Daphnia pulex: one gene and its partners. The protein of the gene in region 5 purifies or fractionates together with the protein of the main gene of each other region. This does not show direct contact. Links are inferred from orthologs where the notes say so. Each region holds a gene or a part of one and is shown on either strand. Other genes may lie near its edges. The genes, in order: pre-mRNA-processing-splicing factor 8, U2 small nuclear ribonucleoprotein A'-like, pre-mRNA-splicing factor SPF27-like, splicing factor U2AF 50 kDa subunit-like, puff-specific protein Bx42-like, splicing factor 3A subunit 1-like and probable ATP-dependent RNA helicase DDX23.

What was found.
Region 1: the proteins of puff-specific protein Bx42-like (region 5) and pre-mRNA-processing-splicing factor 8 purify together in Homo sapiens (affinity purification with mass spectrometry; 5 studies listed by BioGRID and IntAct, with this or other methods). This does not show direct contact. The link is inferred for Daphnia pulex from reciprocal best matches to the Homo sapiens genes SNW1 and PRPF8.
Region 2: the proteins of puff-specific protein Bx42-like (region 5) and U2 small nuclear ribonucleoprotein A'-like purify together in Homo sapiens (affinity purification with mass spectrometry; 4 studies listed by BioGRID and IntAct, counting the BioPlex papers as one, with this or other methods). This does not show direct contact. The link is inferred for Daphnia pulex from reciprocal best matches to the Homo sapiens genes SNW1 and SNRPA1.
Region 3: the proteins of puff-specific protein Bx42-like (region 5) and pre-mRNA-splicing factor SPF27-like purify together in Homo sapiens (co-immunoprecipitation; 3 studies listed by BioGRID and IntAct, with this or other methods). This does not show direct contact. The link is inferred for Daphnia pulex from reciprocal best matches to the Homo sapiens genes SNW1 and BCAS2.
Region 4: the proteins of puff-specific protein Bx42-like (region 5) and splicing factor U2AF 50 kDa subunit-like purify together in Homo sapiens (affinity purification with mass spectrometry; 4 studies listed by BioGRID and IntAct, with this or other methods). This does not show direct contact. The link is inferred for Daphnia pulex from reciprocal best matches to the Homo sapiens genes SNW1 and U2AF2.
Region 6: the proteins of puff-specific protein Bx42-like (region 5) and splicing factor 3A subunit 1-like purify together in Homo sapiens (affinity purification with mass spectrometry; 3 studies listed by BioGRID and IntAct, with this or other methods). This does not show direct contact. The link is inferred for Daphnia pulex from reciprocal best matches to the Homo sapiens genes SNW1 and SF3A1.
Region 7: the proteins of puff-specific protein Bx42-like (region 5) and probable ATP-dependent RNA helicase DDX23 purify together in Homo sapiens (affinity purification with mass spectrometry; 3 studies listed by BioGRID and IntAct, with this or other methods). This does not show direct contact. The link is inferred for Daphnia pulex from reciprocal best matches to the Homo sapiens genes SNW1 and DDX23.

The regions. Positions count from the first base shown.
Region 1 is NC_060027.1:2,049,192-2,053,234, forward strand, and holds the start of pre-mRNA-processing-splicing factor 8, read left to right. Parts: upstream 1-1,223; 5' UTR 1,224-1,378; intron 1,379-1,580; 5' UTR 1,581-1,608; coding exon 1,609-1,834; intron 1,835-1,895; coding exon 1,896-2,228; intron 2,229-2,289; coding exon 2,290-2,908; intron 2,909-3,079; coding exon 3,080-3,272; intron 3,273-3,336; coding exon 3,337-3,654; intron 3,655-3,889; coding exon 3,890-4,043. UniProt on the Homo sapiens protein: Plays a role in pre-mRNA splicing as core component of precatalytic, catalytic and postcatalytic spliceosomal complexes, both of the predominant U2-type spliceosome and the minor U12-type spliceosome.
Region 2 is NC_060021.1:10,325,719-10,329,152, reverse strand, and holds U2 small nuclear ribonucleoprotein A'-like, read left to right. Parts: upstream 1-1,403; 5' UTR 1,404-1,546; coding exon 1,547-1,628; intron 1,629-1,765; coding exon 1,766-1,806; intron 1,807-1,865; coding exon 1,866-1,972; intron 1,973-2,036; coding exon 2,037-2,265; intron 2,266-2,328; coding exon 2,329-2,443; intron 2,444-2,505; coding exon 2,506-2,658; intron 2,659-2,721; coding exon 2,722-2,765; 3' UTR 2,766-2,895; downstream 2,896-3,434. Other genes in the region: lariat debranching enzyme B-like, read right to left, coding at 1-12, 77-263, 335-435, 493-784, 854-1,050. UniProt on the Homo sapiens protein: Involved in pre-mRNA splicing as component of the spliceosome. Associated with sn-RNP U2, where it contributes to the binding of stem loop IV of U2 snRNA.
Region 3 is NC_060018.1:4,114,105-4,117,200, reverse strand, and holds pre-mRNA-splicing factor SPF27-like, read left to right. Parts: upstream 1-1,320; 5' UTR 1,321-1,381; intron 1,382-1,451; 5' UTR 1,452-1,503; coding exon 1,504-1,608; intron 1,609-1,799; coding exon 1,800-1,892; intron 1,893-1,960; coding exon 1,961-2,133; intron 2,134-2,198; coding exon 2,199-2,309; intron 2,310-2,370; coding exon 2,371-2,536; 3' UTR 2,537-2,593; downstream 2,594-3,096. Other genes in the region: uncharacterized protein LOC124189006, read right to left, coding at 11-256, 464-641, 1,565-1,596, 2,825-2,903, 2,968-3,070. UniProt on the Homo sapiens protein: Required for pre-mRNA splicing as component of the activated spliceosome. Component of the PRP19-CDC5L complex that forms an integral part of the spliceosome and is required for activating pre-mRNA splicing.
Region 4 is NC_060018.1:5,212,991-5,217,156, forward strand, and holds the start of splicing factor U2AF 50 kDa subunit-like, read right to left. Parts: upstream 2,828-4,166; 5' UTR 2,675-2,827; coding exon 2,647-2,674; intron 2,359-2,646; coding exon 2,059-2,358; intron 1,995-2,058; coding exon 1,732-1,994; intron 1,656-1,731; coding exon 1,433-1,655; intron 1,366-1,432; coding exon 1,292-1,365; intron 1,009-1,291; coding exon 886-1,008; intron 823-885; coding exon 664-822; intron 598-663; coding exon 298-597; 3' UTR 1-297. Other genes in the region: RNA-binding protein 28-like, read left to right, coding at 3,094-3,207, 3,282-3,450, 3,511-3,959, 4,022-4,166. UniProt on the Homo sapiens protein: Plays a role in pre-mRNA splicing and 3'-end processing. By recruiting PRPF19 and the PRP19C/Prp19 complex/NTC/Nineteen complex to the RNA polymerase II C-terminal domain (CTD), and thereby pre-mRNA, may couple transcription to splicing.
Region 5 is NC_060018.1:215,978-220,260, reverse strand, and holds puff-specific protein Bx42-like, read right to left. Parts: upstream 2,883-4,283; 5' UTR 2,409-2,882; coding exon 2,392-2,408; intron 2,320-2,391; coding exon 1,699-2,319; intron 1,637-1,698; coding exon 1,438-1,636; intron 1,372-1,437; coding exon 1,055-1,371; intron 987-1,054; coding exon 708-986; intron 636-707; coding exon 434-635; 3' UTR 299-433; downstream 1-298. Other genes in the region: uncharacterized protein LOC124188708, read left to right, coding at 1-146. UniProt on the Homo sapiens protein: Involved in pre-mRNA splicing as component of the spliceosome. As a component of the minor spliceosome, involved in the splicing of U12-type introns in pre-mRNAs.
Region 6 is NC_060024.1:13,065,758-13,070,038, forward strand, and holds splicing factor 3A subunit 1-like, read left to right. Parts: upstream 1-1,417; 5' UTR 1,418-1,629; coding exon 1,630-1,738; intron 1,739-1,795; coding exon 1,796-2,174; intron 2,175-2,243; coding exon 2,244-2,403; intron 2,404-2,465; coding exon 2,466-4,043; 3' UTR 4,044-4,229; downstream 4,230-4,281. Other genes in the region: proteasome subunit alpha type-2, read left to right, coding at 11-51, 112-188, 248-503, 582-912. UniProt on the Homo sapiens protein: Component of the 17S U2 SnRNP complex of the spliceosome, a large ribonucleoprotein complex that removes introns from transcribed pre-mRNAs.
Region 7 is NC_060019.1:348,341-352,364, forward strand, and holds the start of probable ATP-dependent RNA helicase DDX23, read left to right. Parts: upstream 1-1,221; 5' UTR 1,222-1,432; intron 1,433-1,500; exon of another isoform or gene 1,501-1,732; coding exon of another isoform or gene 1,733-1,822; intron 1,823-1,890; coding exon of another isoform or gene 1,891-2,025; intron 2,026-2,086; coding exon of another isoform or gene 2,087-2,270; intron 2,271-2,334; coding exon of another isoform or gene 2,335-2,475; intron 2,476-2,536; coding exon of another isoform or gene 2,537-2,647; intron 2,648-2,704; coding exon of another isoform or gene 2,705-2,859; intron 2,860-2,922; coding exon of another isoform or gene 2,923-3,113; intron 3,114-3,174; coding exon of another isoform or gene 3,175-3,328; intron 3,329-3,389; coding exon of another isoform or gene 3,390-3,671; intron 3,672-3,728; coding exon of another isoform or gene 3,729-3,971; exon of another isoform or gene 3,972-4,024. Other genes in the region: glycine dehydrogenase (decarboxylating), mitochondrial-like, read right to left, coding at 450-644; phosphoglucomutase-1-like, read right to left, coding at 1,733-1,822, 1,891-2,025, 2,087-2,270, 2,335-2,475, 2,537-2,647, 2,705-2,859, 2,923-3,113, 3,175-3,328 and 2 more. UniProt on the Homo sapiens protein: Involved in pre-mRNA splicing and its phosphorylated form (by SRPK2) is required for spliceosomal B complex formation.

The DNA of each region.
Region 1 (4,043 bases), on a different chromosome or scaffold from region 5:
GGAATTGCGAAATAAGAGAATTTGAAGAAATTAAAGGTGTTCATTATTAAATAAAGGAAGTATAATCTAATAGGTAGAATTACTGGATTTTCGTATGATATGCATCAGGTCAAACTAAACTAAAACTTAAAAAACAGTTCCCCTTGAATTGGTGATGCACTTAGTGTATTTAATAATGCGCCAAAACTCTCAAACAATTATTGTTGGTTGCATAAATTGTGTGTCAAAAAATTCATTATTTAATATGATTTTAGCTCTTGCAATATCACAAATCAAAGGGGCAGTTCAATTATAAGGGGCATCTAAAAACTACAGTAAATAGTAATTATTTCATTTTTAGGCCAAACTCATATTCTTTTTGCTGAGGGTTTCTTTGAGCTCATTTCTGATATTTTCCATCACTTCTGGATTATTCTCTACAGTTCTGCTCAATTCAGTTAGAGCTGAATAAGCCATGGCTTGATTCAAAGGGCAGACTACAAATCCACTCAGTCTTCCCCATAGTCTTTCATACAAATTGTTCCTCTCTTCTACCGTAAAGTCCTCTCTTAAAGCTGTCATCAGAGGTTTGTAATTGCCATATCCCATAGCGTGTGATAAACCTAGGATTCCTGTGCCTGCGACAGCTCCTGCAAATGATGACAAGAAAAAATGATAGGTGCCAAATGGAAAAAAATGAAAACTGCCAAACTGAAAATTACCAATGACAGCTCCAAGAGGACCACCAGCTAAGCCACCAAGGAAGGTTGGCAAAGCAACAGTGGCTGAATCTTTTAATGGTCCAGCTAAGGAAACTGAAAGTGATTTTGTCCTCGACAGTTCCTCCAACAGACCTTCAATCAACTTGATTGCAAGAGTCTGAAATACATAAAACGTTTACATAAAAAAAAAAATGAAATCCTCTTTAATCTTGTCTTGAAAAAGGGGACATTATAATTTTATACTTCCATGGCAGTAGTCTATTGTTGTTACGATAATTGGAGTCACAAAAAATATTTTGAACTACAGACTAGAATGGTGATCATTAAGAATTTGCACTGAGTTCGGTTTAGTAGCGATAAACTTTCACTACTAATTTATCAAATCGAACGATAACAATGTGTAAACATGATAAGAAAAACGAAAAACTGCAACAAACTCAAAATAAAAAGAAGCAGACAAATTTCGAACGTGTGATGCAATAACAAACGGAGTTGCCGCTTATTTAAAAATAATTAAAATAAATATTCAAGCCATTTTCGACGGCAACTCCGTCTACAGTAAACCGGCATCGCGCTTTTTCGTACAAGCTGCGTATACTTCCGTGGCTTTCATTGTATAAGAAACGTGGAATTGCGACTGGTTTCTAGATTGTGTATAGGTTTTTAAAACTTTATTGGTGAGCATTGTCGTTTATTCTATTTCAAACTTTGTTTCATTGATGATGGTTTGTGTCTCAAAAGTAACTGTCTGGTGAATGTTTTAAGGCTAAACAAATAGTTTATTGCCATGAGAGTGGACATGCTTGTAAATGTCATGGCTGACTGTAAGCATTGGATGATGGAGCTATTATGTTCTAATTTTATTGTTTTAATTACCAGGGCCATAGCCCAGAAAGCTTAAATCAGGATGTCGGGAATTCCACCATTTTTTATTCCTGGTGTCACACCCCCAAATCCATGGGCAAATGCGGCCATGATGGCGCAAGCCCAGCAACAGGCACAGCAAGCCCAAATGGCTGCTGCGGTCCAAATGCAGGCTCAAGCAGCTGCAGCTGCTCAACTTCAAGCTGCTCAGATCCATGCAGTTCAAGCAGCCCATGCACAAGTGCAGGCTCAGGTTCAGGCAACACAAGGTAGTAATTGAGTACAAACGTTTATTATAACAAGGTATTTTATCAGTTTTATTTACATCAGGTCCTCCTGTAATAACTAGTTCGAAACAAGAGCAGATGACAGAAGAAAAAATGCAAGACAAGGCTCGTAAATGGCAGCAATTACAAACCAAACGTTATGCAGACAAGAGAAAGTTTGGCTTTGTTGATTCTCAGAAAGAAGATATGCCTCCAGAGCACGTCCGTAAAATCATTCGGGACCATGGTGATATGACCAACCGAAAGTTCCGTCACGACAAGAGAGTGTACCTTGGTGCTCTTAAATATATGCCACACGCTGTTCTCAAGCTCTTGGAGAACATGCCTATGCCTTGGGAACAAATCCGTGATGTTAAAGTACTCTACCACATTACAGGTTCGTTTCACTTATCTTTTCTTTATGTTGTATAAACGCTAATGGTATTCATTTGTTTTAGGTGCCATTAGCTTCGTCAACGAAATTCCGTGGGTCGTTGAACCTGTTTACATTGCCCAGTGGGGTACCATGTGGATTATGATGCGTCGAGAGAAACGAGATCGTAGACACTTCAAACGAATGCGCTTTCCTCCTTTTGACGACGAAGAACCTCCGTTGGACTATGCTGACAATATTTTGGATGTAGAACCCCTGGAAGCCATTCAGATGGAGTTGGACTCGGACGAAGACAAACCAGTTGCTTCTTGGCTGTACGATAGTAAACCTTTGGTCGATACTAAATTCGTCAATGGTACCACCTATCGCAAGTGGCAACTCGAAATGCCTCAACTGGCGACACTCTACCGTTTGGCGAACCAATTGTTGACTGACCTCGTCGATGACAATTACTTTTACCTCTTCGACCTCAAGTCATTCTTCACCGCCAAGGCGCTGAATATGGCAATTCCGGGTGGACCTAAATTCGAGCCACTTGTAAAGGACGGAAACACTCAAGATGAGGATTGGAATGAATTTAATGATATCAACAAGATTATCATCCGGCAACCTGTTCGAACAGAATATCGTATTGCCTTCCCCTATCTCTACAACAACATGCCCAACTTTGTTCATTTATCTTGGTGAGTAATACTGGCTTTCAACTTGTGCTTTAATGGCTGAGATATACACCGATATCCAGAAGATACTTGGATGTTGGTGGCTGAAACAGTCGTAGATAAAAAAAACCAAGAGCTCTTAGTCTTTACTACATAAAACTATATTGAGCCCTACAATGATTATTTCTCTTTTAGGTATCACACCCCAAATGTGACCTTCATCAAGACAGAAGATCCCGATTTGCCGGCTTTCTACTTCGATCCGCTCATCAATCCGATTTCGCATCGCCGTACCGAGAACAAGTTGGCAGAAATGTCTGAGCAAGATTTGTTACCCGACGATAGCGAAGAATTTGAATTACCAGAATATGCGGCACCACTGCTTCAAGTAAATTTTCCATCATCTGAAATTTTAGTTAAAAAGCAATTTTAATCGATATTTCTCTTGACAGGAATGGCCCTTGTATACGGACAACACAGCGAACGGTATTGCGTTGTTGTGGGCTCCCAGGCCGTTCAACTGCAGGTCGGGATTCACTCGTCGTGCACTGGATGTTCCATTGGTCAAAAACTGGTACCGTGAACACTGCCCACCCGGACAACCGGTCAAGGTGCGCGTTTCATACCAGAAGCTATTAAAGTACTACGTCTTGAATGCGCTCAAGCATCGACCACCGAAAGCCCAGCGCAAGCGTTATCTTTTCCGGTCCTTCAAGTCGACCAAATTCTTCCAGCAAACAACTTTGGATTGGGTTGAAGTCGGCCTCCAGGTAAATATTAAACTTTTTCCTGTTAAGAGTCCTTTATAATGATGAGTTGTGCAGGGGTCATGAAATTACCCATAACATGTTAGGTAGACATTGAAAGTCGGGTCTGGCCGTTTGCTAGCCAACTTTCGATGGGACAACGCACTTACTGATATTAACAATCCTCTTAACTTCACATTTCATATTTTTATATCTCTTCCCAAAGACTTAACCCATTTCTTTGTTTGAACAAATTTAGGTCTGTCGTCAAGGATGGAATATGTTGAACTTGTTGATTCACAGGAAGAACCTCAACTACTTACATTTGGATTACAATTTCAACTTGAAACCCGTCAAGACCCTTACAACCAAGGAGCGTAAAAAGTCACGTTTCGGAAATGCTTTCCATCTTT
Region 2 (3,434 bases), on a different chromosome or scaffold from region 5:
AATTTCCACCAACTTTTAGATATACCCAACAGTTAAATTGTTAAATTTTTCGAGAATATTCTGAATTAAATCTTACTTCAAGGTACTGACGTCTTGGAAGACACTTATCAAGTGCTAGAAATTGAGTTGATTGTTTTTCATTATGTTGGATTGTAGCAGCAAACCTACAATGAAGGTGGGCAGCAAACCAATGTTTAGGCTTCAATTCGTGAAGTAATGTTTCTCCAGCTTGACTTCCCAATACATTTTGGGCTATCTCATCACTGGAAGGGGAAAGAAAGAAATGTGTAAATTGAATTGTGTTTTGGAACAATTAGGTAACACTATTTCAAACCGAAAGAATGGTTTCCAATGCAGAAGTTCTCTGGTATCTGCATAATTGTAGACACCACGAGGCCAATCATGTGAAATAAAAATATCTATGTCTTCTTTTAACTGAAAATTAAAAGACATTTAAGTTTTTAATCTTTAAAACAATCAAAATGTAATTACCTGTTTCAAGCGAAATACTTCAAGACTACGAACATGATAAGCTGATCTCATAGTGCTGTTTGTGTAGGGAGGTTTTTCAAAATGTCCTTTCAAGTAATCATGTCCTTTAAAGATGCCTGATATTCCCGCTATTCTGATGCCACCAAACTTGACTACACCAGCATAGCCAAGATAATATATATTTGGAGCAACCCAGCCTCCATATGCAAGTTCTTGTAGATAGTTTGATGCTTCATGATTGCCTCCAATGAAAATAGTTAAAATTGGTGCTTTCAATTCACCATTATAATACCTGATATTGAAAAAAACAGTAACAATTACAATAAACTCTTATTTGTCTAAAACAATTATAAATAAATACTTGTAGAATGTACAGATATGACGGAATTTGTCAGGTACTGCCATGCATTGTAAGTCACTTTCGTTTCGAACAGCTTGAAAATCTCCACAACAGATGAGCAAATCAACTTTGACATTTCTTTGCCTCGCCAAATTCTCGACAGACCGGTAAATTTGATCAAGTTCACCATGAGCGCACCCTTCAACAGCAATAATCATGTTTTATACTGTCTTTAACTTGATATTTTAAGATAAATGTCAAATGCTGTTTCAAAGTTGATAACTTGCTTTCAAGTTACAACACAAACTCAATATTTTGAAGTTGTTTACAGTTTTACTGGAAGCCGAATCGTTCGTGGCTATTGTCGTCTGCTTAAAACCTAGCGGCAAAAACACAGCCATTTTCATATATTTTCTAACGTTTATAATTTTTTTTAATTTTGTTGACAAATTTAAATACTTTAGTTTAGAAAAGTATTTATATTTCAAGATAAAAAGCTACAGATGCACAAAACCTTTGATAAAACTTTAGTTTGAAAAGTTAATTTCCTGTTTGGAAATGTATTCGGAAATGAGTTGCAACATCGCACATGGCGTCACTTAGATATCCCTAGATTTGTCAACTACAAACGTGCAAAAACATTTTGTTCAAGTTTTAATTGCATCTTTTCCCAAATTCAATTACGTGTTTAAGGTTTAAAAAGCCAAAAAGAAAATGGTGAAGTTGACGGCTGAGGTCATTCACTTGAGCCACCAGTACACGAATGCCATCAAAGAAAGAGAACTAGATTTAAGAGGTATGTAACCGGCGTTCAGCTTCAATCTCATTCAGTCAGTTACTAAAGTTCAAAAGTTTTTTGTGTTGGCTTAAAAAAAGTGATGTAATTGTAAAAATATTTCGTGAAAATACAGCTATTTTTTGTCATCATTTTAGGTTACAAGATTCCTGTAATTGAAAACCTAGGAGCAACTTTAGTAAGTAAATTTGTAGTGTAATCATGCTGAACAGTTACTGGAGTGTTTTCTTTTTTCAGGATCAGTTTGACACAATAGATTTTTCAGATAATGACATAAGGAAATTGGATGGTTTTCCCTTGCTGAGACGAATTAAAAGTCTTCTCCTAAACAACAACAGAATCTTGTAAGTTTTTTGTTGTATTATTCACAAATTTAATTTCATGCAAATGATTCTTTAAAATCTGTAGACGCATTGCTGATGGATTAGGTGAAGTCATTCCAAACCTCGAAACCCTTGTCCTGACAAATAATCATCTGCAAGAGTTGGGCGACCTTGACCCATTAGCAGAATTCTCTAAACTCACCTATTTAAGTCTACTGAGCAATCCTGTTGCAAATAAGCAACATTATCGTTCATATGTGATAAACAAGTTGCCAAGCCTGAGGGTGTTGGATTTTCGTAAAGTAAAACTTAAGGTAATAATGTTCTACCTGACATCAGGAATTTTCCTCCTTATTCATGTAAAACTTGATTTGAAGGAGAGAGAAGCCGCCCGAGACCTATTCAAATCAAAGAAAGGAAAAGTATTGGCGAAAGAAATCGCCCAGAAAAGCAAGTTTCTTTCAGCTGAAGCGGGAAATAAGGCACCGATAGGTAAAAAACACAAATGTTTTGTTTTGTTAGCCTAAGAAATGTTATTAAATTATTTTGTGTAGGTGGTGCATCTGCGGAGGAGGCTCGTGCAATCCGAGAAGCTGTTGCTAATGCCTCCACCTTGGAAGAGGTAGAACGTCTAAACCAAATGTTGAGGGCAGGTGTCGTACCTGGAAAAGCCACCCAAGGCTCCAGCAAAAACGGAAATGCAAATGGTAAATTCACATCCTGTCTTCAACTTCCTTGTTTCGTTTGTTAAAACTTTTGAATTGTTGTAGGTGAAGATATGGAGGAGGAAGAAGATGAACCCATGGAGAAATGACAATGCCATCACGGGTAAAAATTAATTTGTATCAAGCTGTTAATGTGAATGTGGGACTACACTTTGATAATAAAAATATCGCTACCCTAGAGTAAATAAGGTAGCAGAAAGATATTTTTGAAATTACAAATTGCCCGTCTAATTTGTGTCACAGTTAAAAGACCGAGAAGCGATTAAATTTGGTCATTTTAACAAAACTGTGTTGTGAAAAATGCGTAGCGAAACCAATTTTCAGTCATAGAATTAGATATGCTACATAGTGTGTATATCCTACGTGTATTCGGAAGAGGCTCATCTGCCATTTGCGGAATGAGTCATGCATAGAAGGCGGATGTGGGGGTGTGCGTTATTTTCAGCCGGACATGACGGGTTAGGAGTAGCTTGGAAACTGTAGACGATCTAATTTAGAGCGTTTCGTGTCCTTTCATTAACGAGCGTGCCCGTGCGTAAGTTTCGTTGTTTTGAGTAAGATTTTTGGCGCCCACTCCTATTTTTCCCGATACCACATCCGGAATATCATGAGCTAACACCGCCATGATGATGTGATAATGGCAGCAAACTTGGTTTGTAGGTTACAACTTACAGCTATACGAAAATCCAGAACTGATCGTTTTAAGTTCAAAATTCTACTAATATTTACAAATAAATCATTAGTATTTGATAATATCC
Region 3 (3,096 bases), about 3.9 Mb from region 5:
TCATATTTACCTTTGGACATCACCAAAGACGGAATACCCGAAGCAGCGACGGCCGAGCACAATGCAAAACGTTTCTGGTTAACGTTGATCTTGCGATGCCAACGGCGCCAGATCTTGGTGGGGGCAAACATACGTCCACCACGACACATGTTACCATAGGCACCCTGACCGGAGCGATGGGTACCACCTCCTCGGACACGGGGAATACGAGCCACAGCACGACCAGTACCCCATGATTCAGCACTTGTCTGATGACCTGTAATAGGAAAGAAGAAGATTAACAATCACACCATTACATGTGTGTATGAAGTTTGTCCGGTTGCCCAACCCCTCACTTTAAGAAAACAAAGCGAGAAAGGCCTCAGGGACTCGCTTTAGTGTTGCACACTGCACAAGAAGAGTCTGACGTACAATTACTCCTACATTTCAATGCTGTGTGCCATATAATTGGCATACAAGTTACCTGCTTTCTCGCTGACACAATAAGGGTGACGACGATTCATTGACATTTGTTGTTGAACAAAGCTGACAATGTCTGGCCTAATGGGAGCCCTGAAGATTGCAGGGAGCTGGATGCTGGTTCCAGAGGCCTCAGCCTTCTCATTGTAAACGGTAATCAACGGCCTCGCGACCACCTTACTCTGTAAAACAAAATGGATAAACAAATTAGATTTAAGATTTTCAAGAGACAACACTTGAATTTACACAAACTTTGAACTAGATGTACCAATTAACCAAAACATAACAATAAACCAAGAACGACGTTGAATTAACATAGAAAAACAGCAAGAGCCCATTTGACACGAGGACGAAACCACGCTGTGGGTAACATTTTACTCCCAAACTTTCGCCATAGATTAACAAGAAAATGGCTTAGAAAAATATACGCACGCAAGAATTTTCTTAAAACACGTTTCTCCCGTTAACCTTTTTACTTACTATTCGTAAATTAATGTATGTAAAAACTAGTAAAATGTTTGGAGAACCTCATGCTTACCATCTTGGTAGATAGTCCTGACCGGGTAAAAAGGCGAATGAAAGAGACCCACAGTAATGGCGACAAAGAGGAAGTCTACAATGTTGCCGGCATACTTTGAGAATTGCCGCCCTCTACGTTCCGTTTTTTACTTGATTATTTACTTGAAAAATTACAGATTATTCACTGAACTGATCCACTGTTTAATAACAAAAATTATGGAGTTTCAATTGATGATTTCAAACATTTTAATGGAGTGATTAGTTATAAAATTTTTAATATTGTTTTATTTGTTTCACAATGCAACGGTGTCCAAAATATTATTGAATAAAATTTAATATACCAATTTATTTTCATATTTTATTCATTTAAAGGAAGTTAATGATCTTTATTCATTATCAAAAAGTAAGTTTATGAATAATTAGACATAATGAAAATCAATTACTAAAACTGTGGCTCATATTTATTAATCCAGCAGAAAATCTGACAATCTTGCTGACAACAGACAGTTTGACACAAATCACAAAATGCCGATTCCGTCAACAAACATTTCCACGCCGAACGAAAGGATTTTGGTTGACGATTTACCATACGTTGACCAAGAATATGGAGATCCAACTCTACGAGAAGCGGTAAGCAAAACTTATACATTGCAAACTTTGAAATATTTGAATCGCTTCGAATTGAGGCTTGGAGATTCTTGTGTTAGCCTAGTCATCTCTAACATCAATACATTATTGTACTAGACCATAGTACTGTATGTTGCTGAGAACTCTCGCTCTTGTCCAATAGTTGTTTAATGAGAGTAATTTCTTTCTATCAGGCACTTGCATTGGTTGATGAAGAGACACGAAGATATAGACCAACCAAAAACTACCTAGAACATCTTCCTCCACTTGAGCTGTCAGCATTTGAAGTAAGAACTGTCTGCATGGAAGTAATGATAGGAGTGTGTAATAATTATGGAAATTATCATGTTCATAGACTCCTTTGATGAAGACTGAATTTGAGCGACTGTCTCAAAAGAAACCAATGGATGTTTTGAGCATGAAACGATATGAACTCCCACCCCCATCTGCTGGTCGTCTAAATGATCTTCAAGCATGGATAGAGTGTGTTGATAATTCAATGGCTCAATTAGAACATCAAACAACAAGGTTTGTTTTCTAAAAAAAAATTTTACAGCAACCATAAATTTAAAAAAATTTCAATTAAAAAACAGGATTTTGAACTTGGAATTAATGTCAGAGTATGGTTGTGAATCATGGAGAATTTATAACACTGTATTGTCCCAGATGATCCAACAATCTCAGAAGCATCTTCAGGAATTTAAGTATGATTTCAGTAAAGTAGACACCATATTGCAAAATACACTATTATATTTTTCTTTACAGGAAACAAATCCAAGATGTCAATTGGGCTAGAAAAAAAGATCAGACAGAGGTTGGAGACAAAATGAAACATTTGGAAGCCACTTGGTTTGGTTTGATCACTAAAAACTACGAAATCGAACTCGCGTGTGCTGAAATTGAGAGACAGTTAGCTTCACTTAATGAATGAAATTCAATGTAAACCTACTTTATCGAATTCGGATAATACACTGCAACAGGAAATTGATTCATCCGAGATTTTCAGTAAGTGACAACCAAAAAGATTTGGTTGTAAGGGAACAAAACAAAAAAATAGTATAAAGTCATGCACTTTCAGATTAGCTTGTCTTATAAATGGTAAGTAGCACGTTCTGATTTTATATATCACACAATTGAAAACGAGAAGAAGCGTATGAGTACAGCAAAGCGTAATTCAGAGAAGGGTAAAAAAAAGGGTAAGATCATAGGGAAGTCTCACTTGGGGCTGAACTTAAAGGTAAAGGGCGGACGGAAGACTCATCTTCCAGCACCATAACTCGTTGCTTTAGGACGCGAACCTGATAATCACATGACATTTTTATGTCGGTCACACTTGATAACTCGTAATTTTTCTCTATATACCTGCATTGCATGTCTTTCCGACATGTTGACCATTTGCTGCTCTAGTCTTTTTAATCGAGATTGGTACTTTTTCTTAGTCCTCTCAAGAAGTTGGACCAACGTCCTGAAAATTAGTTTACGGATATTACA
Region 4 (4,166 bases), about 5.0 Mb from region 5:
ACATTACTACACATGTTATTGTTTGTTTTGTTTTTTCACCGACACGCCAAACAAAGAGGTTGGACAACACAAACTTGATGCAAAATATCGAAAAACCCATTTAGAAATGACAAAAAAAAACTGAAGAAAAAGAAAATCAAATTCATCAAGGGAAATCCCGTACGCATCAGGCCGTTTATTCTCATCAAGCGTCGGTTCGTCATGACGTTATTTGTTTCATCAAAGTAAAAAAAAAAAAAAAAAGAAGGGGCATATCTTGCGGATTACTTTTTGTCTGATGACAGAAGCCGTCATGGCTTAGAAGTCCCGTCGGTGATAGCGTTCCGGTTCGTAAAATGACGTAACGACGATACGATTGGCGAACTTGCGACCTGTCAGCGCCTGCTGGGCTTTAACGCAGTCGCTCACCGAAATAAACTCGACGAAGACCTTGCCAACTCCCGGTACATCATCGACACCCTCCAACGGCCTGGGAATTTCGACTGAACGTACGGCTCCATGACGATTGCATTCCTCACGAATATCGTCCACAATTTCCTCATATTCCTCGTCGTCCCTCAATTCCTCGGGTGTCACCATGTTCAGCAGACATAGAACCTACGCAAAAGAAAAGACCAAAATGAAATTAAAAATTGTCGCATTAGACAAGGTTGATTTTTGTACCTCTGTCGGTTGGCCAGGACCGGCAGCAAGATTGAATCCTGGTACTTGAATCTGGACTGGCATCTGGGCGTAAGCAGCGGCGTTTTTGGCTCCAACACTGGCTCGCTGGATGATGATCTTTTTGTCTCCCAACTGCATACCGTTCAATCCGGAAATAGCCTGAAAGAAAAATAAAATTAGATGTAATGGTTTTTCAAGGAATATTATCATGGTCTACTTTACTTGATCGGTGACGGTGACGTCGGCATACTCGCAGAAAGCGTATCCCTTGGATAAGCCAGTAGCCGTATCTTTAACTAAGTTAAAGGCTCGAAGTTGTCCAAAAGACATCAGCAATTCCTTTACCTAAATTCGAATGAGACAATTTGCGTGCGTGCCTAGAGTCGACCTTCAAAAATAACAATCTAGGGATCGACGGTGGGGAGATGGATCGAGGTTGTGTGGTTGGAATGGGTAGGAAGTTTTAAGGATCACGTGACCACTGTTTAGGGAGAACGAAAGAAGAAGACATTCATCAGAATCGATTTTGCTTCAACTAGACGCTCACAAATCCCATTTCTCTCACTCTTTTTTCTTCTCCCAATCGAAAACACATTTTACAGTCACATCGACGAAACAGGTAACTTACTTGTTCTTCGTTTAAGTAATTTGGAAGTCCACCGATGAACAATTTGTGGGGTGTATCCGGGACGATCGTGCTCACTGAGCAAAAAACAATGAATACATTAAAGAAATTTGCCATAAAAGAATCACTTTAAGTCGTCCTTACTTGTGCCTCCTCCTCCTCCACCACCTCCACCTCCAGCCCTCTTTTCAGTTATACCACCAGAACTCATGCCGGGCGTTGTTTCGGGACCACCACCTCCTCCTCCTCCGCCGCCACCACCAGGTGTTGGATGATAATCATGGGGTCTGCGGATTTTTAGAGTTTGACCTTTAAAGTTAATACCGTCAAAAGCCATGGCCTGGGAAGTTTCATCAATTGACCGAAACTGAAAAGTAAAAGAGCAAAATTATTTAAATATTCCACTAAAATACTAGGTTTCACGTGAAAACAATCCAACAAACCTCCAAGAATGCAAAATTCTTATCCAGATTAATTTGACAAGCTAAAATGGGATGACCTGGAGCTTGAGACAGACCAGACAAATGCATCTGTTGATTGAAGAAATCCATCATTTCCTCCTCCGCTGCGCGTACATCAGAAACTCCAAAAGGAATATTCCCAACATAGAGTCTCCTGGCTTGACGAGTGATTGTGTTACCCACTACTGGTACTTGGACTTGTGGGGCTACTTCCGTCATTATGTTAGCTGGAATTTGTCCGGCAGCTACGTAGATTCAAGAAAATAATAATTAGCACATTAAAATTGAAACTTGAATAAGGATTTATACCTTGCATTGCTTTGTATTGCATGGGTGTGATGTGTTCGAAACCAATAGGAGGAATATCCCAGTAAATAGACGGCTTTCTTCGGCGTTGCTTTTTAACAGGAGAACGACTCCTTTTGCGTTCACGTTCACGGGACTTGCTACGCTTCTTCTCCTTCTCCTTTTCCTTAGATTTAGACCTTCTCTTTCTGTCACGAGACCTGGACCGTCTACGATCCCTGTCTCTATCTCTTTCCCTATCCTTGTCTCTTTCCTTGTCCTTTTCCTTATCTCTGGAACGGTCACGATCTCTCTCCCTGTCAACTAAAGTATTTCAAATGTTAATAAATCAAACAAGTAAGTTTACTTGCTTGACTACCTTCTAACTACTATGACTAATATTTCCATACAAAAGCAAAACCACGAGCCAACATTATAAACCATTAAAAGTTATGAAATTATGTGTAAAATACAACCAGATCATTAAACACCCATTACTTGTAAGTAATGTGTGTTAAACATTTCTTTCTTAAGCATCACAGACTCTTAAGAACATTACAAAAGCATTATAGTTGATATTGACAGAAGTAGTTTAGAGAAGTTAAAACATACCTTTACGATCATCTTTATCTTCTCCCATGATTAACGTGTGATTGTTAGCTTTTGTACGACAATAAGAAGAAACACAGCAGAGGAAAACAGTTAATTATTGTCCAAATTTTCACTAAGACTGTAAGCCGGTTTGATTAAAGGCTGGGAATGGGCGAATGGCGTCGGAGACGAGGTTCGATTGACTCCTTGTACCGGCAACGTCGATTTAATGTTTACAATTTCAAACTTGGTTTTGATTAATATACTGAAAGGTAAGATTAAATATTTCATAAAATAATAGCCACATAAAATTTATTTTCTGAGTAATTGTTGTATTCATGTTAATCCTCATTAGTTGTCATTTTGCCAATTGACAACAGTCTATGCTACATTTTGACACATATAATCGTCTGCTTGACTAGCTACATCAGTTATACAGACAAGCACGTGTTTGGATAGATTTAAAAGATGAATCACTCTTCAGTTAAAAAAGAAGCTTCTATTGTTACTAAAGCAAACACATCAAAGAAGAGACCACCCAATAAAAGAGGAAGAATAATTATTCGCAATTTATCTTTCAAAGTAAGCCAAGAAACTTTAATTTATGCTACTTTTAGTATGTTAGTAAGTTAGTACTTGATTTAATTTATTAACAGGCAACAGAAGAAGCTGTTAAAAACTGGTTTGAGAAATATGGAGAAATTGAGGATGTGAAATTATTAAAGAAACCTGGTGGCACTTTAGTTGGCTGTGGTTTTGTTCAATTTAAAACAGTTCCATGTGCGGCTACAGCAATCAAAGAATGCAATGCAAAACCATTTCTTGGTAAGAAAATTTTAACATTTTAAATTTGATAATAGCTTATCAATTGTTTTTTTTTTGTAGGAAGGCAAATAGCTATTGATTGGGCCATACCAAAACAACAGTATGCCACTTTAAATAATAAAACTGACGAAGTTCCAAACATTGAGCCGCCAGAGAAGAAAAATGACAGAAAAGATGAAGAATCTGATGATGAAGAAAGTAATGATGAAGAAGAAGATAATGATGAAGAAGAACAAGATGGAGAAGCTTCTGATTCTGAAGTTGAGAATGGTTCCGGTGAAGAAGAAAGTCCAAAAAAAGAAGAAGCTTGGAAGGGTGATAATTCTGAAATAGAAAAGAAGAGTGATGTAGCAGAAGGAAAGACTCTTTTTATCAGAAATTTGGACTTTTCAACCACAAAAGACTCGTTGAAAAATTTCATGGAAAAATTTGGCAGTGTTCACTATGCATTGTTGTGTATGGATAAAATTATGGAGAGACCCAAGGGCACTGGATTCGTAAAATTTAGAGTAAGTTGCATTATTGCAAAAATAAATACATACTAATAACTTTTCATATTAACCATTTTTAGGATTCGGAATCGGCTCAAAAGTGTTTAGAAGAGTCTCGAAATCCATATTTACAGTTAGATGGACGCATTTTAGACGTGGCTCTTGCAGTTACTCGGGAAGACCTCGATCACAAAAAGCAAGAAGCTGAAAAAAAGGAACATAAGG
Region 5 (4,283 bases):
CCTCTGACACGCTGGTTGGGCTGCTGCAGGAGAGACAGCAGCTGAGTGAAGAAGCTCATGTCCGACTTATCAGCATAGAGCAGCTACACAGGCTTCTGGAGGCTAGGTGTTTTTATCGTGGACTTTCCACTGGACTCTTTTCATGATGATTATTACTTACACTTGTCTGGTGATATTCAAGTCTTCTGCTGCATTTTCGATTTACCATTATGTACATTCTTGCAAAATGTTTCGTCACTTTACAGTATTGAATCAAGTGTTTTGTCTCGTAATCAATGAATAAATAAAACTAGTCACAGACATTTCATTTGAAATGTATTCTGGTCTTGGAGAAAAGGAATCATTGTTTTTGTGGTTTTTTTAAAAAGATTTTTTTTTGTGTGAGGTAAAATGAAACAAATTGCGAAATCGTCAACGGAAAGAAAAACAATATTTAGTCTCGACGCCGTCTCTTATCCTTGTCCTTGTCTGAGCGTTCCGCGTCAGTGGGTCGTTTGCTACTGGCCTTGCGGACGTCCGTCAAAAACTTGTCGAGGCCGAAAGGATCCTCTTCCTTCTCAAACTGAACTGGACCACTGCGGGAGCCGGAAGGACCAGAACGATCAGTTCCGCTAAATTCCTTATCAGGTACAAACCTGTAAACAAATGAAAAACAAAATGAGTTTCAACTTCATAAACCAATGCACCTTGAAAGTAGGTCAACTTACTTGCTGGTCTTGACAAGTTTATCCAAATCGTCGCCGTACAAATCTTGATCGAGGTTCTTGGTCGGACGATAGAGATTACTGGACAGAGTTCCTTGTTCACGCCAAGGTTTGTCGTAGACATTGTAGGCCTCATCATCGGCGAATCCACTGTCCATTCCACGAGTTTGGTTCAGTAAACGCTGATCGTACATGGTCTCGCCACTTGCAGAAGCTCGAGCAGGCATCCCCAATGCAATCTGCTCACTAATGTCACGCTCGCGTTGGCGATCGAGTTTGGATCTACGCGTCAATGGAAATTGTTAATTAATTGACTGGAAAAAGTTGAAAGGAAATCAAATGTTTAATACTTTTTATCGCCGGGAGCCGCGCGTGCAATGTTGCGCTCACGTTGACGCTCACGATGCCGTTCTTGTCTCAAGTTGTCACGCTCCGCTGCATCATCGTCGTCTTCACGAGCAGCAGCAGCGCCTGCACCGGGTCGCAGACCTGCTCTCTCTTCGCGGACTTGCTGCGCCAGCTGTCGCAGAGTATCTTCCTTCTTTTCCTTTTCTTTTTGCGCTTGTTTCTTTTGAAGTTGGGCGCGAAGTTCAACCGACTCTCTGGCCTTTCGATCGGCTATGTACAATGATTCGGCCAATTTCGCGAATTTCTCGTTAATGTGAACCTGCGAGAAACAACAACATTTAGTTGATTGGGGAAAGACACGTTTTTAGGTCGTTAGGGACGGCACCTGTTGAAGTCCTCGACCATCGGCTGCCAAACGTTTGTCAAGAGGAATGGTGTAACCTTTAGCGTTCTTCCAATTTGAAATGCAAGGCGGAATTTTCCATTCCTGTTGTTCCTTGACAGTTACTTTACGTGTAGGAGAATGCAACACGGGGGCAGGAGGAGAAGGTGGACCACGGGGGATTTTTTGGTTGATTTTGAACCTAGTGAAAAATAATCAGTCAATATGGGAATGAAATGAAATGGCACTTTTTCTAAAATTTACCTTGGGGGTTCCATGGGATCTTTTTGTACTTCAACCATGCGGATAATGCGTTGTTTGGCGCCAGAATTGAATTCATCACCCTGCTGTGCTGGTGTGTAGCGAATGAATTGAGCAGGGCCAGTTCTCTCTGCGGCACGGACTGGAAGAGCTGCTTCTACTTTGGCATTGGTGATTCTTTCCAGGGCTTGTCTCGTTTTCTCTGTTATATCTGCAATTTCATCGTCTGTGGGCTTGTGCAAAGAGGGATCATCCTCATTGGTAATTTCAGCAGGCAGGAGATCAGTGAATTTGGAGTAGACGTGTTTGTCCTTCCCATGGCCTTGCCTGGCAATAGCATCATATTTGATCTTTCCCTCTGCATCAAGTTGGATGGCCAAGGCATTTGACTTTTGTCCAGCCTGGTCTTTGCGACCCATGTCCATTGGATATTGGGCCATGTGAATTTCGGGAAAAGCACCTCCATCTCCGAAATCGGAAACATTTCGAGGCATCCATGAATCGCGATTTCCGTATGGTGGGATTGCCTTTGTGGCGGCCACGATGGCCGTTTGGCGATTAGCACGTTCCTTTTGCTCCTCGACATCTCGATCCCACGTCAACTGCGTTGGCGCTGGGAGATAACTGTATAAAATAACATGACCATAATTAATACATAGTTTAAATACAAGGAAATCAAAAAAATAATTATTATACCTTGATAACGACGCCATGTTTTCAGTCGAGTCTTTCAACCAAGATGTTGCCAAATACAAAAATTGTAACTCGAGAATAATTTATGATGCAACGTTGTCAGATTGTTTCTTCGCAACAGAGCGAGATAAAATGCGGGATATTTTCGGCTTTTCGCAACATCGACATTTTATTCGATACAAATTAAAAAAAAAAGAATATTATTAAATTATCCAGAGTTTACATAAAATTGTGTCTCCATCAATGGGATGGGGCGCTCAAGACGTGATGGGAATTATATAAAAAAAGGAAAAACGTCGTATCGATCCTGAAAACTTTTTACAAGATTGTGGCGCCGTGTGTGTGTGTATGCTCTGCGTTGGATGTATCCAATAAGGTTTAATGATGGGCGGAATAAATAGACGCACTTGAGATGAGAGTGTTAGCGCGCCTTTTCTTATTACAGTCTCTCTCTCATATTCCTTCCGACGTTTTTCTTCTCCGTTCCATAAAAAAATAAGAGCGCAGTCAACAACCTTTTTCCTTCTCCTCGCAGCCGTTCTTGGCATTTTTTACGGTAATGAGATGAAAGTCGAGAGTGGGTGGAAAAGAATAAGAAAGTCAAGTAATCCATACCCGCCCCGAGTTGAAATACGAACGCTTGTCAACTCTAATGGAACTTCGCGTCTCTTGCAATCTGCTTGTAATAACATCTAATGGCAAGGCAAAATATAACGAGTTGCCGCCCACTGTGTTTTTCGTTTGATGCAACGCAATTAACGCCGACGTGTAAAAGTGAGCGCTGATGAAATCGACCCTCTCTGTGTTACAAGTTGGACGCCGAGCGGAACTGAGCGCATCGCCATATGAAAAAAGTAAACACCTTAAAAACTTTCACTTTGGCCAATATATCCCACGACGACGACACAGTCGTAAAAATAAATGCTGTTCTCGTTGGGAGGGTTGCACCATCTGATTTATCAACGGATAGCTGGCTTAACAGTCTGAAATCCGGTGGCCATAAATGCCAACGTAAGAGTTTGATATACTATAGTGAATAGATTCTCATTTTGAAGCGATGCGAATCAGCGAGGCAGTTCAGAGTCTCGTCCCATAACAAATGATAAATGTGGATGTGCGGTGACCGTGAGCTCGCCTCATCTCCGTCTCTCTTCCGCCTTCCGTTTCGACTTTCAATGTGTGGGCCAATAAATCTCTTTTGCGGCGTAGGGCTTTATAATGCATCCACAATGCATACAGTACATCCGATAATAGAGAGACAGTTGTAGGACAAGATTTGGGAACTTTTCGACGACGACGGCTGCTCTCTTTGCAACAGGAAATCAATACGAGATGTGCTGATGCCGGTCTCCAATAAATAAAGGAACGGCAGCAGCAGCACGTCTCATTATCAAAGTCTTCTTCTTCCTCTGTATATATATCATCTATTTGATCCAAGACTATATATGTGTGTGTATAGCAGTTTCGCCTTTTCCCTTGTGCGATAATACAGTTGGCTGGGTGGTGGGGGTTGGTTGAGGCTCTTTGGACGGATCGATCGATATAGGCCGCCTTGTCTCGCTCAGACTATACTATGTAGGCCTTGGCACAAGGGGAACTTGATTTGGCACCGGGGTGCTTGTGGCGCAGCAGCTGATGGTGAAGTTTACTGACAGATAAGCCCATGGCAGCAGTCATGTTTATTATTCAAGTTATTTGCCCATGGAGAGAGAGATAGTTGAGGTCCCGAGGCACGTTAATTACGCAACAGCACCGAGCATCTCATTAAGACGAACAATAATAAATGCATGCAGGATGTATACAGTTCATTCAAGTAGATATGCGTGTGTTTCTTATGAAAATGTATCAGGAAGCCGCGACATTTCCCCATGGCAATTGTTTACAAGGGGAAAAGA
Region 6 (4,281 bases), on a different chromosome or scaffold from region 5:
TAACTAGACCATGGCTTCCGAAAGATATAGTTTCTCCCTAACAACTTTCAGGTTTTCTATCATTTACTTTCTAAGTTTTGACTAAATATAACATTTATTTTCATTGTTTAGTCCTTCTGGAAAACTGGTACAAATCGAGTATGCTTTGGCCGCAGTAGCTGCCGGTGCTGCATCAGTCGGCATTAAAGGTATATTGAAATTTCAGCATGTAAAAGATTGTAACAATGTAAATAATGTTATGTTATAGCTGCCAATGGTGTCGTTCTGGCCACTGAGAAGAAGCATCGGTCAATCTTATATGAAGAACACAGTGTTCACAAGATTGAAATGATTACCCCCAAGATCGGTATGGTCTACAGTGGAATGGGTCCTGATTATCGCCTCTTGGTTCGTCAAGCAAGGAAAATGGCTCAACAATATTGGGTAACTTATCAAGAACAGATACCAACTGCCCAGCTTGTCCAGCGTGTTGCTACCCTCATGCAAGAGTACACACAGTCTGGGTAAATATTTGGTTTTGTCACAAAAAAATAGTTCTTAAATAGTATAGATGAACATTTCAATGAATTTTTGTAATGCAGAGGTGTCAGGCCATTTGGTGTTTCACTCTTGATGTGTGGCTGGGATGAAGGACGTCCATATCTGTTTCAGTGTGATCCATCAGGAGCCTACTTTGCCTGGAAAGCCACTGCCATGGGAAAGAATTACATCAATGGCAAAACTTTCCTCGAGAAAAGATACAATGAAGACCTCGAGCTCGACGATGCTGTCCACACTGCGATTCTTACTCTCAAAGAGGGTTTTGAAGGAGGCATGACAGAAGATAATGTTGAAATTGGTATTTGTAACGAGCAGGGTTTCCGCCGATTATCTCCCGCTGAGGTTAAGGATTACTTGGCGAACATTGCCTAAACGGCTCGAAAATTCTTTGATTTCAAACAAGTGTCGAAAAATAAATCTGATGGTTGCTTAATGAATTTTCTCTTGGATTTTAAAAACAAAATTCCTTTTCTTTGTTCATTGCTAAACAATCATTTTCCTACTATCTTCACTCAAATTGCCTGTTAGAAATCTTAAAATCTATCAGATAAAAGATCTAAAAGATCCAGTCATAATTCCTCAATCAGTTCAAAGTGGTTGTATTTTTTATACTTGATCATTGTTGTTTAACGTTCAAGTTTATTCTAAATTCTTACTACATACTTTCTTCATTTCTTGTATCGATTCAAACGAGCAAACAGATGAATGAACCGAATGAACTATGAATTTGGATATGATTTTGTTTTGGTACTTGACATATATTAGTGAATTCCGTATAATTCAACAGTATAGTTCAAGGGATTCTTTTTCTGAATTGAACTAATAGCAGATAAGAGTTTAACAATTTTTTCTAGGTGGAAAAAAGTGGGAAGAAGTCGGAATCGGAATTCGGAAGAAGTGGGCGCCACACTGAAATTAAACAGTCTGACAACATTGTAGCGGATAGACAGCAACGTTTTGTTGCGTTCTGCTGTTAAAGCCGGAACAGAAAAACGCTATTTAACTCACATTTTAGAAATAGAATCAGTTTTTAATTTTGACGTGAGAATCTGACAATTTCATACATCAGAATAGAGTTTGATAGTCAGCATGCCACCTGCTGTGGAAACATTGCCAGTTTCTGGTGAAGTAAATATGCCCGAGAATGCTTCTACCAAGCCTACTGTCGGCATCATTTACCCACCTCCTGAAGTCAGAAGTAAGTTTGTTGTCAACTTACAAGTTCGTGAATAATTCATAACAATTTTCTTCTTAGATATTGTGGACAAGACAGCCAGCTTTGTAGCCAGAAATGGGTTGGAGTTTGAAGCACGGATTAGGAAAAATGAGCAGAATAACCCAAAATTCAACTTTCTTAATACTGGAGATCCTTATCATGCATACTACCAGTACAAAGTTAAGGATATCAGAGAAGGAAAGCTTGCAGAAGGTGCACCTGCAGCAGCACCTGTCCCAGGCCCACCGGGAAAACCACCACCATCAGCCCCTACATCAGCACCAGCTTCGTTGGCACAGCAGCAGAAACAGCAAGAAATTTTGAAACAATTCCAGCAAGAAGCCCCTGTAATCCCAAAAGAGCCACCTCCAGAGTTTGAATTCATTGTTGATCCTCCATCGATTTCAGCCATGGAATTGTGAGTTTTTTAAATAACTATTTAAATATTATGAAGCTAAAACTTAACAACACTTGTGTCTTATTTCAGAGACATTGTGAAACTCACTGCCCAATTTGTAGCTAGGAATGGTCGCCAGTTCCTCACAAGTCTGATGAATCGTGAGGCCAGAAATTATCAGTTTGACTTTCTGCGTCCTCAGCACTCGCTTTTTCAATATTTCACTCGTCTCCTAGAACAGTACACCAAAGTATTTTGATTGGTAGATTATTTTGTTTGAATGAAAGTCTAAATGATTTTGTTATTCTTTAGGTTCTTATCCCACCGAAAGACTTGATGACCCGTTTGAACGAGGGTTGCACTAATACTAGCGTTGTCTTACAAGAAGTCAAACGACGAGCCGACTGGCAACGTCATCAAGAGGCTCAGAAACGCCGAGAAGAAGAAGAAGCTGAAAGGGAACGCGTGTCATATGCGCAAATTGATTGGCACGACTTTGTAGTCGTCGAATCAGTTGACTATCAACCATTCGAAATTGGTAATTTCCCTCCTCCCACAACCCCAGAGGAGGTCGGTGCCCGTATTCTTCTCCAGGAGCGCTACGAAGAAGGACAAGATGTTGAGATGCAGCTGGAGAGTGAAGAGGAAGACGATGATGAAGAAGACGATTCAGACACGGAACAGACAAAGCCACCACCACCACCAGGCGCACCGCCCTCTCAAGCCATCAAGGGAGATGGACTACAGCCTCCTCCAGTGGCTCCTTCTGCCGAAAACGTCATCGTGCGTAAAGACTACAATCCCAAAGCTGTGGCAAAACCACAAGCCCGTCCGCCTGCTCCAGACGAGTACCTCATCTCACCCATCACTGGAGAGCGAATTCCGGCTAGCCAAGTGGCTGAGCACATGCGTATCGGTTTGCTGGATCCGCGTTGGTTGGAGCAGCGCGATCGACAAATGCAAGAAAAGATGACTCAAGAGTCTGTGTACGCGCCCGGATCAGCCATCGAAAACAGCTTGCGAGCATTGGCTGAACGTCGTACAGATATTTTCGGTGTCGGTGACGAAGAGACAGCCATCGGTAAAAAGATTGGTGAAGAAGAGCGTCGCAAAGACGAGACCAAATGGGAAGGACAACAACCGCCTGCCCCGCCACCATCAGGTGGAGAGGGAGGATCAACGTTCCAACCCCGACCTGGTCCACCTGCTGGCCTGGTTACCATACAAGAGCAGATTGCGCAGATCCACAAGAACAAGGCGCTCATGACTGGCATGAGCGAGGAAGAAGATGGGCTAGGATCTAATGGCGTTGTAGCAGCAGCGCCACCTAAACCTCCACAACAATTAATGAGCATTCCACCAAGACCACCGGTCATGATGTCTGCTCCGCAGCCGCCACCCATGATGATGATGTCCATCCCTCAGCCGCCAATGCCAATGCCCATGGTCCCCCAGAATTCTTTCATGACGCAGATGCCTCAGTCTATGGGCATGATGCAGCAACAGCAGCAGGGTCAGGGTGGTCGAGATGTCATGGAGGAGGAGCCTCCTTCTAAACGACAGCGCAACGAGGATCAACTTATGCCTGAGGAAGCCTTTTTGGTCAGATATCCCGGTCTGCTCCACTTCCATATTGGTGCACCAGTTTACGCCGAAAAACCCGAGTGGAGATTGCAGGGCCAGCAGCTCAGCTTTTCCTTGTTGCCCACGGAACCAATCTCCGTTGTTAAGCAGAAGATTAGTGAAGCGACAGGAATGCCGCCGGCCAAGCAAAAGCTCTTTTGGGAGGGGCTCTACTTCAAGGACAATCATTCTCTGGCATTTTACAATGTTACCCCCGATGCTGTTGTCCAGCTTCAGGTGAAGGAACGAGGCGGTCGTAAGAAGTAAAAAACAATTCTGGAAAATCCTAAACCATCAAAAAACCTCATTTACATCAGTACGGACCTTGGGGGATAATTACGTAATCGGAAAGCATTTTACAACCATTTTGTCTCTCCCTCTGCTACACTGTCATCGATTCCTTCCTGGTCTCAGAAATGGAAATATATTCAACTTTTCTCATTTCTCCATTTATCGGTTGTCAGGTAAATCATTATTATTAGCACAAATTATCTCATCTCATTTG
Region 7 (4,024 bases), on a different chromosome or scaffold from region 5:
TTCATAGATAAGAGGATCAAAATATATATCAAACAAACAGATATGTCACAATATTGGCCTATCAGTGTTGTTCTAAACGTGATTCAACGTGATTCTTAACAACATGCTAGACGTCTGTAAAGTTTAGGATTAATCCGCGGGTCCAGTGTCTACGCATTCCAAGTTTCAAGGCTTTCAAATGCCAAGACTAAACAAAATCTGTTCCCTATTATTTTTGAAGGCCTAACAATTCTCAAGGACGAAATGTATGGGCACTGCTATTTGCGGAAGGACGAATGTGATGGAAAAAGAAAACGTTTCAAACGGATGGAGCAGACGACTGTAGAACAAAAACAAGGAAAAACAAAAGACTAACGAAATTTGGGCTACTAGTAAAATAGAAACTTGTTTCGAATTTCAAAGAATTACATTCACCACACACAATACTTGTAAAAATAGGTGAAATGTACCTTGCACCCAACTACTTGAAGCATTTGTTGCTTCTGGGCTTCATTGGGTCCAATATGTCGACTTTTGAATGCCTGCCGAGCGGGCACGACGCGGTCGAAATGCGTTCCGCAAATCCGCTGCGCAGTATTAAGACTTCTCGAGCTGGTGCGGATGCATTCTTTCAGAGGACCCACCACTCTCAATAGATTCTGCATCTTTAAGGCCAATTATTACACAACGTGAGTCAAATGAAACAACACCGCAGGGCACTGTTACAGCACTATGGGAGACTGTGCAAGTAACACCTCACCACGACGAGCGCACGAAACGAAATGAGCGAATCGAGAGGTTTGCATTCGACTTTTTCAGTGCGGACGAAACGGGCGACTTTGACCTGGTTGTGTGTGTGTGTACATAGGAAATGTGGGGGTATAGGCAATAAGGTGGAGGGGGGGAGATATGTACATAAGCGAAACTGATCCCGAACCAGCGCGAAGCGGTTTTTCAAAGCTCATTTGGCGCCCTTGGGCTTCAGTCCATGGCCAATCCGCACGCGGATCCTTTCACTGCCATCAACTGCTGGGCATTATTTCGACTCGGCTAATTTTATTTTGTTGACGTATAGGTAACTGCCCAACTGCGATGTTGGCCAGAAAACATTGAACTGAAACGCATTTAACGATCGAATCTACCAAAGTTACATAATACAATCATTTTGTAAAAATCAAAACGCTAAATTTGTTACAGACCCAGACATAAGTTGACACTTGGTCGAAATAGATTTAGGCTAGCGATAATTCAGTGCAAACAAATAAGTGTCAAAACGGATTTGTCCAAAGTATAGTTTTTTTTTCCTTTTCAAGGACAAATGTCGTATGTTAAAAGATAAGGTGCAAAGTGCCGGGAACAATTCCTATACGTACCAGTGCGTGTAGATTGGCTTCAGCGTCAGTCGTGGTGCAACTTGTACCGAAGGTCTACCTCTCAGCCGAGAGATAAATACGTACGTATGATCTGAATTAGGTTTTCCCTATCATCACATCGGGACTAGTATAGACAGTTCACGCAGTATCACAAAGATTGCCTGTTTTATTAGACAAAGCAGCTAGCCACTCGGCAAATATTAAATTTTAATGATAACAGGAGAGATTCCAATTTCAACAACAACAACAACACTTTCTATAGACTATTAATTCATATCTTACCCAAAATCCAACACGAAACAAACAAAAACTAGAGCGCTGACTAAGAATAACTGCAGCTCGATTGCTCGGCAAGTTGTTGATTAAAAACGGCGTTATTATTACGTAATAACTGTGGGCTCGTCTCTGCCGGTCAGCTCCCGCAACTTGGAAATTCGAAGCGCGATCTGAACAAGTGGTTTCAACATGACCTAAATTCAATACGGCATTTATCTTTAAAAGCTTCAGGGTTACATCAATCAATGTCAATATGGTATACCTGGGCGTCAAGCAGATATTTATCAGCATCGGACTCGTAGCTATCGATGTAAAGGCGGACAGTAGCCCCTGAGCTTCCAGTGCCGCTCAGGCGAATGACAATACGCGATCCATCTTGGAAAATGATCCGCAATCCCTTTAGGATCAAAATGAATTAATACTGACATTTTTATTTCCGTTAAAGACATTTGTAGTACCTGTTTGGAGGAGAGGCTACCATCGATGGGATCGGTATAAGAAAAGTTATCGGCCAGGGCCACCGTAAAAGATTTGCCATCGAATTCGTGAACAGAACCGATGAACGAGGGTTCGTTCATGAGTGCCTCAAGGTCGGCCATCATTTTGTTGCAGGGCTCGGAATCACAATTTTCGTAATCGTATCTAAAAGGTCAATTCAATGTCATAAGTAACGTTACATAAATGTGTTACGTAACCTCTAATTCACCTCGTGAAGAAGTTTCGCCCGTACAAAGTCCAGTGGTCTTTTAGAATTTGTTCGACTGTTTGTTTCCTGGTGGCCAGAATAGACAACCAGGCAAGAACCGCCCATATTCCATCTTTTTCTCGAATATGATCTGAGCCAGTTCTATTAAAATTGCAGATATGAAATATTTTCATAAATAAAATTCGAATGTACTAAAATTTACCCAAAACTTTCTTCGCCGCAAAGCGACAGTTGTCCGGCATCCATCAGATTGCCAAAGTATTTCCAGCCGGTGGGGACTTCGTAGATACTTTTCTGCAATTTGACGGCAACCCTAATAAAAAATTATTTAGTTAAAACAAATTCAGTGGTCCAATAATGTAATTAATACCTATCGACAGCGGCACCAGTAGGCATGCTTCTGGCAAATCCTCTAACTCCAGTTTTACGGAAGTAAGGAATACAATCCATATTGTTGGCGATGACTGCTAAAGAGTCGGAAGGGGTGACGAAGAAGGCTTTCTCACCCAAAATCATGTTTCGATCCTTCATTTAAATACACACATTGAAATATTGAGTTAAGTTTAAGAGTTAATGAAAGTTAATTACTCCATCTCCATCAAAAGCGGCTCCAAGTCCGAAATCGCCTTCTTTCATAGCTTGAACCAAGTCGGCGGCGTAAGTAAGATTCGGGTCAGGATGATGTCCTCCAAAATCTTCCAGGGGAATAACATTTACGACACTTTGTGCGCTAGCTCCAAGCTCTTCGCAAAATATGCGGCTGACATAAGGACCGGTCACTAAAAAAACAGTGGTCAGCCAAATGGTGTCGTATTTAAAGACTTTTTCAAAGATCAATACCTCCGTGCATTGAATTGATCAACACTTTCAGAGGGGTTTGACCTGTTCCACAAATAAGGTTTTTGATAGAACCAAAATCAAAGATTTCTTTCATCAACTCCAAATAATCGTTGACAGAGTCTACGACTTCAACTGTAAATGGGTGGCCTTCAATCTACAAAGAGTGGAACATGGTATGAAATTTTGAATGACATCACTAATTTTAGCTTTCTTACATCAAATTGCTGAGTTCCAATGGTCTTAATATCACATTTCAGGTCTGGTACTGTAGAATATTCCTTGATTCCAGTAGAAAGCTCATAGATTTTGTTGGTTACACCATCAGGTGCAGGCCCACCGTTGGAGGTGTTAAACTTGATGCCGAAATCGGCATCAGGACCACCTGGATTGTGACTGGCAGTGAGCAAAATTCCACCGTTGGTCTTATACTTGCGAATCATGCAAGAGACTGCAGGAGTAGAAAGAATTCCGTTCTGCCCAACAATCAGCTTGGATACCTGTAATGACATCACATTAGAACCATATTTTTAAAACGGAATAACAAGGATCTGTACCTTATTGGCAGCACAAATGCGGACAATGATCTCGACTGCTTGGTGCAAGAAATATCGTCCATCTCCACCAAGTACCAGAGTCGAACCGGTTAGAGCCTCACCAAGTCCTCCAGTTAACAACGACTGAATAAAATTTTCCGTGTAATGTGGCTGAGAAAATACTTTAACCGCTTTTCTTAGGCCGCTAGTGCCAGGTTTTTGGCCTTCAAATGGCGTTGTAGGTACTTTTATTGGACTCAACATCTTAGTTTTTCTCCCGTAGTTACAGCACAAGAGACTGAGACTAGAACTTTTTG